Linked DNA regions of Schizosaccharomyces pombe. Changing the gene in region 1 together with any one later gene gives a genetic interaction. Each region holds a gene or a part of one and is shown on either strand. Other genes may lie near its edges.

What was found. A genetic interaction does not mean that the proteins touch.
Region 2: of abp2 (region 1) and SPOM_SPBC2A9.02, extra expression of one rescues a mutant of the other (dosage rescue), as found in Schizosaccharomyces pombe (one study listed by BioGRID).

What each region holds. Positions count from the first base shown.
Region 1 is NC_003423.3:4,128,965-4,132,726, reverse strand, and holds the start of abp2 (ARS-binding protein Abp2), read right to left. Parts: upstream 1,863-3,762; 5' UTR 1,026-1,862; coding exon 1-1,025. UniProt on the Schizosaccharomyces pombe protein: Binds, preferentially, to the Maundrell ARS consensus sequence within ARS3002.
Region 2 is NC_003423.3:2,946,578-2,950,339, reverse strand, and holds the start of SPOM_SPBC2A9.02 (NAD-dependent epimerase/dehydratase family protein), read right to left. Parts: upstream 1,749-3,762; 5' UTR 1,693-1,748; coding exon 805-1,692; 3' UTR 1-804. Other genes in the region: HOPS/CORVET complex subunit, vacuolar sorting protein Vps33, read left to right, coding at 3,260-3,316, 3,362-3,762.

The DNA of each region.
Region 1 (3,762 bases):
TTAATTTTGTTACGAGCTCCTGGCGGACGCCCGCGTTTACGAGGGACTCCTGCTTCATTTTCAACATTTTCCGTTTCTACTTGATTGGTTTGTCGAGACCAAGAATCATTCAACCCGTCACTTTCTTTGGGTGAAGAAACGTCTCGTAAATCATCAGGCCATTGATGCCAGTCAGGATCAATGGAATCAGCAACGCCAACTGCTTCAGCAGTTTGAAAAGCGTGATCATGGTTATGTGAATTGTTGGCTGCGGAAGGTAACTGATGGTCTTCGTCAGGTGGTTCAAACATATTTGGAGGATGTGGGAGAGAATGGTTTTGAGGAGTTGTCTGATGTGCTTGTTGAGAACCTCGTTCAGACATGTGATGGGACGCTCTCATTAAAAGGGATTGAGGGGTAGGGCATTCTTGGGAATCTGCATGAGGGTTTGTGACAAAGCTACCAAGATTGTGAGTGTTGTCGTCTAAACTAGCACTAGCTGAATGAATCCAGTTAGAAGGGGAGGTTGACGTGCGCATTGTGGAGATGGAGGAAGAGTTAACATCTGGATGAGACATTAAGCCTGCACGTAAAGATTTAATAACCAAATCATCAGTTACATTTACATTGCATCGAACTTGAGGTTGGGTTTCAGGAATTTCGAGATAATAAGGATTTGGTTTATTCAGGAGATAATCGAAAAAAGCATCAACATGTGTTTGACTCATCCACCGTTTTAAACGAACAACATACTGTTGTATTTTTTGAGTAGATTGTTCATCTTTTCGTTCCACACCAAGAAAACCCACCAGCTTGGACCAAGAGTTAATTATTTTTTGGTGGTATTGCCGGACAAGGAGAAATAAGACCCAAATCTCAAATTTTTGACCCTCTGATTTAGGAATCATATTGAATGCATTTGCTAATTGCCTCGTGTCAGCACCTGCATACCAGGGATTGCAGCAAAGACAGAATTGGCAGAACTTTTCAGTAATATTATCCGCGCTAACATCATGTCTAGATGGCAACAAGGAATAAAAGTTCATCCTTGATTAATTGCTTTAAAAAACAATAAAAAATGTAAAAAGACAGATAGATAAACGTTGGATTATTAAGTAAACACGACAGAAAGACACAAGCAATGTCGAATAAAGAGATTAACAGTATATAAATATCAGAAAAGATCCAGGGATTTTAATAGAATGTATCAGTTCTTGGAACAGGAAGGAGTTGCTGTCTATAAATTAAACTCCAATCTGTAAATGAACCGATGTTTTTTTTTCCGTACACTAAAAAAAGGGAATGGAGGTAAATAAAGCAAAAAAAACGAAATAAGAGAATGAATGTAACCAAAAAAAAGAAAATATAAGTACAGATGTTAAATTTTGTTTGTTTCTTCTCTAGAAATTAGAGAAGTATTGACATGAAGTAGCTCGTCTACACTATACGAAAAGATGCACAGATTATGAAAACAATTGATCCCCTCCTATGATGAAAAAAGGATGCGGAAGGTATTACAGAAGTTTTTCTTCTTTAAGAAAGAAAATAAGAATGGTGTCCCTAAGCTATATGGCACGTATAGCAAGGGTGTCGAGAAATTTTCGGAAAAAATTGTAAACCCTCCAACAATCGGTTGTATTCACAATTGAAATTAAGAATTGGAAGAGTTTCTCTCACGAAAACCTATTACCTTGGCGTTTAGCTTTTCGAGAAAAAGAAAATTGCACGGTCATACAATTTCGCGATTTTTCAAAAGAAGGATGGCAAAGAAAGATATTTCCAAAGAGGCGAAACCTCTTAAATCTAATTTACAAACGATAAATAAAAAGCGCGAAAAACTTGCACACGAGCAAAAGTCCAATTTATATATTGGAATGGAAGATAGAGTAGAAAATGGGAAACGCGAATAAAGTACTCTTTTTCCTTCATATATTGTGATACCTTGGGCCATCCGACTCAGATAACAAGATGATACCTTTAACCCGTTGTTACCGTAGCACTCGCTGAATCAAGGTACTTAACGACTGTCGGTAAACGGAGTCGTGCGCCGTTTACCGATGAGGGATACGTAATCGCACATTAGGACACCTTCAATCTCCCTATATCTTTTGGATAGATCGAGAAATTGCTAGAGGAAAGATGGAACGGGATTGCATTAAAAAATAGAGGCAATAAATTAAAAATGTTTCAATCAAGAGTTCAAAGATTATTACAGATTTACTACTCATTTCTGTAAAGCAATGGTTATTGCGCTGTCTCGACTGCTGTTATTTACCTGACACACTAGGGGCACACACTAGGGGCACACATTGGCGGCAACCCGAATGGAATACAAAAAATGCAAATTTTGATTTCAATCGACCAATGCTATAAATGAAAAAGACAAATAAAATCGAATCATATAAAAAAACAGAATAAATAATGAGACAGACAGTGGAAATGATCCAGCGGCATCGAGAATTTAAAAAATCGGCTCTTCTCTAATAGTATCTTTTTGCATTTGCAACGGAGCGCATATTACAAATCTAAGGTTGAATACTAATTATTACGAATAATAAGCTATAAAACTATTTTTTTTGGAAATAAACAGCTATTTAGATTAGAGTACATGAGTACTACTGTTAGTAAACAAAACGACATTCACTCTCTATATTTATGGCAAATTTTTAACAGCTAATTTTAACAATTTCTTGAGTTGCCACTCAAAGTATAAAGAGATATGCCTTCTTCGATTTACTTGTTGAAACTACCAATTTAAATAATAGCTGCTAACGGCTTCTAGTGATATTCCTTAAACGGCAATCGCCATTTTAAGGAAGAAAGGCCAATTGGTCGCACTAATAAGGACCTGATTTGAAGCCGCTGTAAAATAGGGTTTTCCCTTTTTTGCTGAGTTCGCGTGAAGGTTGTAGGCGAAATAAAGTGACAATATACATTCAAAATACAGACTTCATTATGGGAACTTTCATTTTCTTTATAGTGGTAGCAGGATAACCTAGCCTTTGTGTATAAGGTGATATCCTTTTACAGAGGTTAGCTATGGATTCTTGTAATACAGCCAAAAGTACGTACATAAATTTTGAGTAAAAAATTCGGGTATGGTTGAAGGAGGCGTAAACGGAAGCATTTTCTTGGCGTTAATTGAACATGTTTCGCACTTTAGTCTTCTTACTATGTCATGAAAAGAGCTATTTTAATTATTGTACGGGGTGGCTTGCTAAATATTGATCTGCTAGATATAAAATTAATAAATAAATAATAAAATAATAAAAAATTTTGTAAAAAGAGAAGCGAAAAACCAAACCGACTTAACTTTTTGTAAATAAATATATTTAATTTTATTTACTTTTGAATTTTTTTTTCAGCCCTATTCAAGATCAATTGACCCCTTTTTTGGCAAAATTTCACCATTGCTGAGATTTCGGCATCAGAAAATTTTCACATACTATGGTGAAAAAAAGAAAACAGTCAAGGCGTAGCATCGCAAATTTGGATTCATACAAGAAAAAAAATCTCGTCAGCAATACGCTTAATAACACCGACTGTAATAAATAATGGTGGTTTAGCACTAATATAATCGTAAGTTAATAAACAATCATCAATTGGATGGCCAAGCCAGAAGAAATCCCAAAAATAAAAAAATTATAAAAAATGATAAATCTATTTTTAATCTCTTAAATTGTTATTGCGGTAGGCCGTTTTTTTGAATGTCAATTGCTCAATCCGTCTTTTCCACTATTTGGGTTCATCCCTTGGTAGCGGCTACTTAATATGCTTCTAGGT
Region 2 (3,762 bases), 1.2 Mb from region 1:
TAACACCCAAGAATTCGCATTTAAATTGGTCCCTTTTGGAAAAAGGATAAATAGTTTTTCATAAATCAAAAGCTTTTTGAAGCAATTACAAAGATTGCCCTCCCACAGGTCGGTAATCGTAATTTGAAATTACAGAAGAACGTTTTACTATAACCTTTTTAAATATATAAAAAAAAGCAAATAAAGTAATTCTAATAAACAATATTATGCCTACGAGCACACTAGACGAAAACAGCAGTTTCTGTCCGACCACTGTATTTGAGGTCGAAGGGTTTTACGTTAGTTCGGTACTACAGAGCTTCTTTTCCTATTAATTTCCTATCTCATAGTGACAACTATAATTTTCACTGTACTTTGTGGATTTGAAGGTTCATTGTCATCAATATTTGTCAAATCACGTTTATAGCCAACACAACACCATTAGTATCAAAAGTGGGATTTTGCAAAGCGAACAAAAAGAGCAAGATTTACAATTTTCAAAAAAAAAGTGAGAAACTCGCATTTTTGGCTAGAGTTTATTAGTGGCCTAGTATATTCACGCGTCTGTAATGTTTCAAATGGATAATAATTCATCTATAAACCAAAATCAAATCAAAACGTAAAGCAACTCCAACACAAATATTAGCATATTCTCTAAATTGATGTTTAAACAATCAATCAATATAGGACTTCTGTCTACAAATATAGTAATATATTTTGCAAGCAAAAATGCTCCAATATTGACAAAAGCATAAAGGCACAAACTCCTCCTTTCGAATGAACTTAGCAATCATTATTGAGTTGACATTATTCTTCCATCTGAGCTTAAAAGTACGCATCACTGGCCAAATCAGTCATTAGTGTAGAATGCGTAGGCTTCCAACCTAAACGTTGCTGCGTAAGAATACTTGAAGTTGGATTATCAACAGACAAAAAGCTGGAAAGAAATCCAAAATGTTCGGTGGCTTCTTCAGAAGATACGGAGATGACAGGTATATCAAGTCGTTTGCCAATCATGCCTGCGATTTCTTTGATCGGAATACCTTCTTCGGCAACAGCATGATAAATGGAACCAGCAGTTTCTTTTTCTAGAGCTAATACAAACAAATTAGCAGCATCAGTTCTATGAACGGCAGGCCAACAATTCATACCATTACCGATATAAGCAGAAACACCTTTATTTTTGGCCACGTTAATGAGCATGGGCACAAATGCGTGATCTCCTGCTCCATGAACGGTAGGTGGAAGGCGAAGGATTGAAGCACGTACTCCTTGAGATGCAAATTTAAGAGTTGTCACCTCTCCTAATTGGCGTGGAATTGGTGGTTGGGGAACTTCACTTATCTCGGTGCCTAACTTACCGTTGGAAGAAAGCACAGCGGTTACAGAAGTGGTAATCAAAGGACGCTCAGTTCCTCTAAGGACTTCGCCGATAGCTTCAATGACACGAGCGTCAAGCTTACAGGCCTCTTGATATATACTAAAGTCGTGAACGAAAGCCGTGTGAATAACGCCATCACATTGCGCTACTCCTTTTTTCAGTGTATCCAAATCTTCAAGTGTACCAATGTAAGGTGTGCCTCCAGCAGCTCTGAGTTTTGCCGCGTTTTCTTCTGAGCGCACCAGACCAACCACTTCATGTCCGGCTTCAAGAAGCTGTCTCACTATTTCAGAGCCAATAAACCCAGCTGCACCAGTTACAAATATACGCATAATTGCTTAAGAAGATACTGTTCTCGGATCACCTCCTTATGTACGAATACATACTCATTGGTATAAAGTAAATTAAACGATATATAAAGACCACAGGTAAGCGATCATGACGTAAAAGAGCGACAGTTTATTCTTCCTATATGACTAAGCTTGTTAATCAGTAACGAACAAATGGAGGATTTAAAAAAGATGCAAGCATATATTAATTAACAAAAAGAAGTGAGCATGCAGAATACTGGATTCCTTAGGTCTCCAACCATAGTATTTATGAGGCCTTGGAGCATTTAGCTGCAAATGATCGAACAGGAACTGGTGTTTCCTCGCCTAGGACGTTATGAAAAAACCTATTGTTGACGATCGGTCATTTATATTCTATTTTATTTAATCGTATAAGGTGATCATTGGAAGAAATATATGTTGTCTCACGTTTTAGCATATTACGATCTGTAATCCTTAGTAACATGGACCTGTAATAGACGGCCTCGTTCTTTCTATACTCTTCTTTGGTTTTACTGTCAGGGTCTCTTTGCTCTTTGCGATGAATACAAAGAGTACGAATCCGCTAAGAATTATAACGAACGGTGAGAATACTCGATAAAATCAGATGTGTTTGCTGGTCATTTCCACGGTCTATCTAGCACAATGAGTGCTGCTGGATTTGCTCGATATAGACTCATCCGGCGCTTGGCGATCTATGGGTATGGATGATTTTCTGTTGCCTGAAAGCCGACTGGCTGATCGCGCTAAATTTCCTGCATGAGATTTCCAGTAATATGACTATTTACTGCTAAAATTAAGTGTGCTATAATGTTTTCGTTACTTATCTCAAGCTATACATCAAGTGGGAGGTATAAGCTCTTCTGTTATATATACGTTACCATTAAAAACAGTGTTTTGGCCAGCTTTCACCAAGCGCAAAAAACATACATGTTAACGAAACAATTCAATTGTTTTTTTTTTAAACTCTATGGTTCATGAACAAATCTTGCAATCATTGATAACCTTACTGATGCTACAGAAAAACTAAATCTCGGCGAAACAATTTTTTACATTATTCAAATGACATCGTAGTAATCGTTAATTCCTTCAATAATTAAACAAGATAACTCAACACACACTATAGTTACGGAATAATAAATAGATTTTGCTAACTTAGGTGCTGTAACATTACTTTCAGTTTGCCTTGTCAACAAGTTTAAATAGCAAATTAAAAGAAACTAGTTTGTTTGAAACTATAAAACCTTTTAGCTTAAAAACGAAATGAAAAATTTTCCTAATTTTATCAATAAAGTAGTTTTTATTTTATTAAGTATTGTTAGTGAAATACAATTGCGATGCATGTCAAGAAGCTCTTAATTCACTATACATGTTTTAAAGTCGCAATACCTTTTAAAGTTAACAATAACTGTTGGAAAAATCATTCCGTTCTTTTCTATTTTATTTACGTTGTGTAATATTAACATCTAAGGGTTTTGCTTTGTGAAATCAAGTGTCATTCTAGTGTTTCCCTCTACCTCCATTTAACTGCAGACGTCCTAAAGAGTTGGTGGACTCAATTCATGGCTTGATGACTACAGACGTTAAAGAAAAAGCTACATTTAAGTTGTTAGATTTAATAGACAGTGTATGTGGATTTGAAAAGTGACATGCTAATGATAATGTGTTAAAGGTTACTGGGAAAAAAAGTTTGCTCTTGGAACGTGATCTGTCAGGAATTTTAGGTCAAATAGTTACTACCAATACTTTACAAGAACATGGAATACCTCAGGTTTATTGGTTTAATGAAAATATTCCAAATGATATTGAGAAAAAGACAATCTACTTGTGCAGACCAACTTATGAAAATGCCAAACTAGTTGCTACTCATGTTCGTCAATTTCAAAGGGATATGTTACGCATTGAGAGCACAGTAATTGTTTTGCCTACCTCAAATATCCTCTTTGAGACGGTACTGCAAGAGGAGGGTGTGTTTGGAGAATTACTTGTGACTGAATGGCCGTTACATGCCGTACCCTTGGACAAGGACCTTTTGTCATTAGAACTTGGTCCAGAGAAATTGGAAGAAAGCTT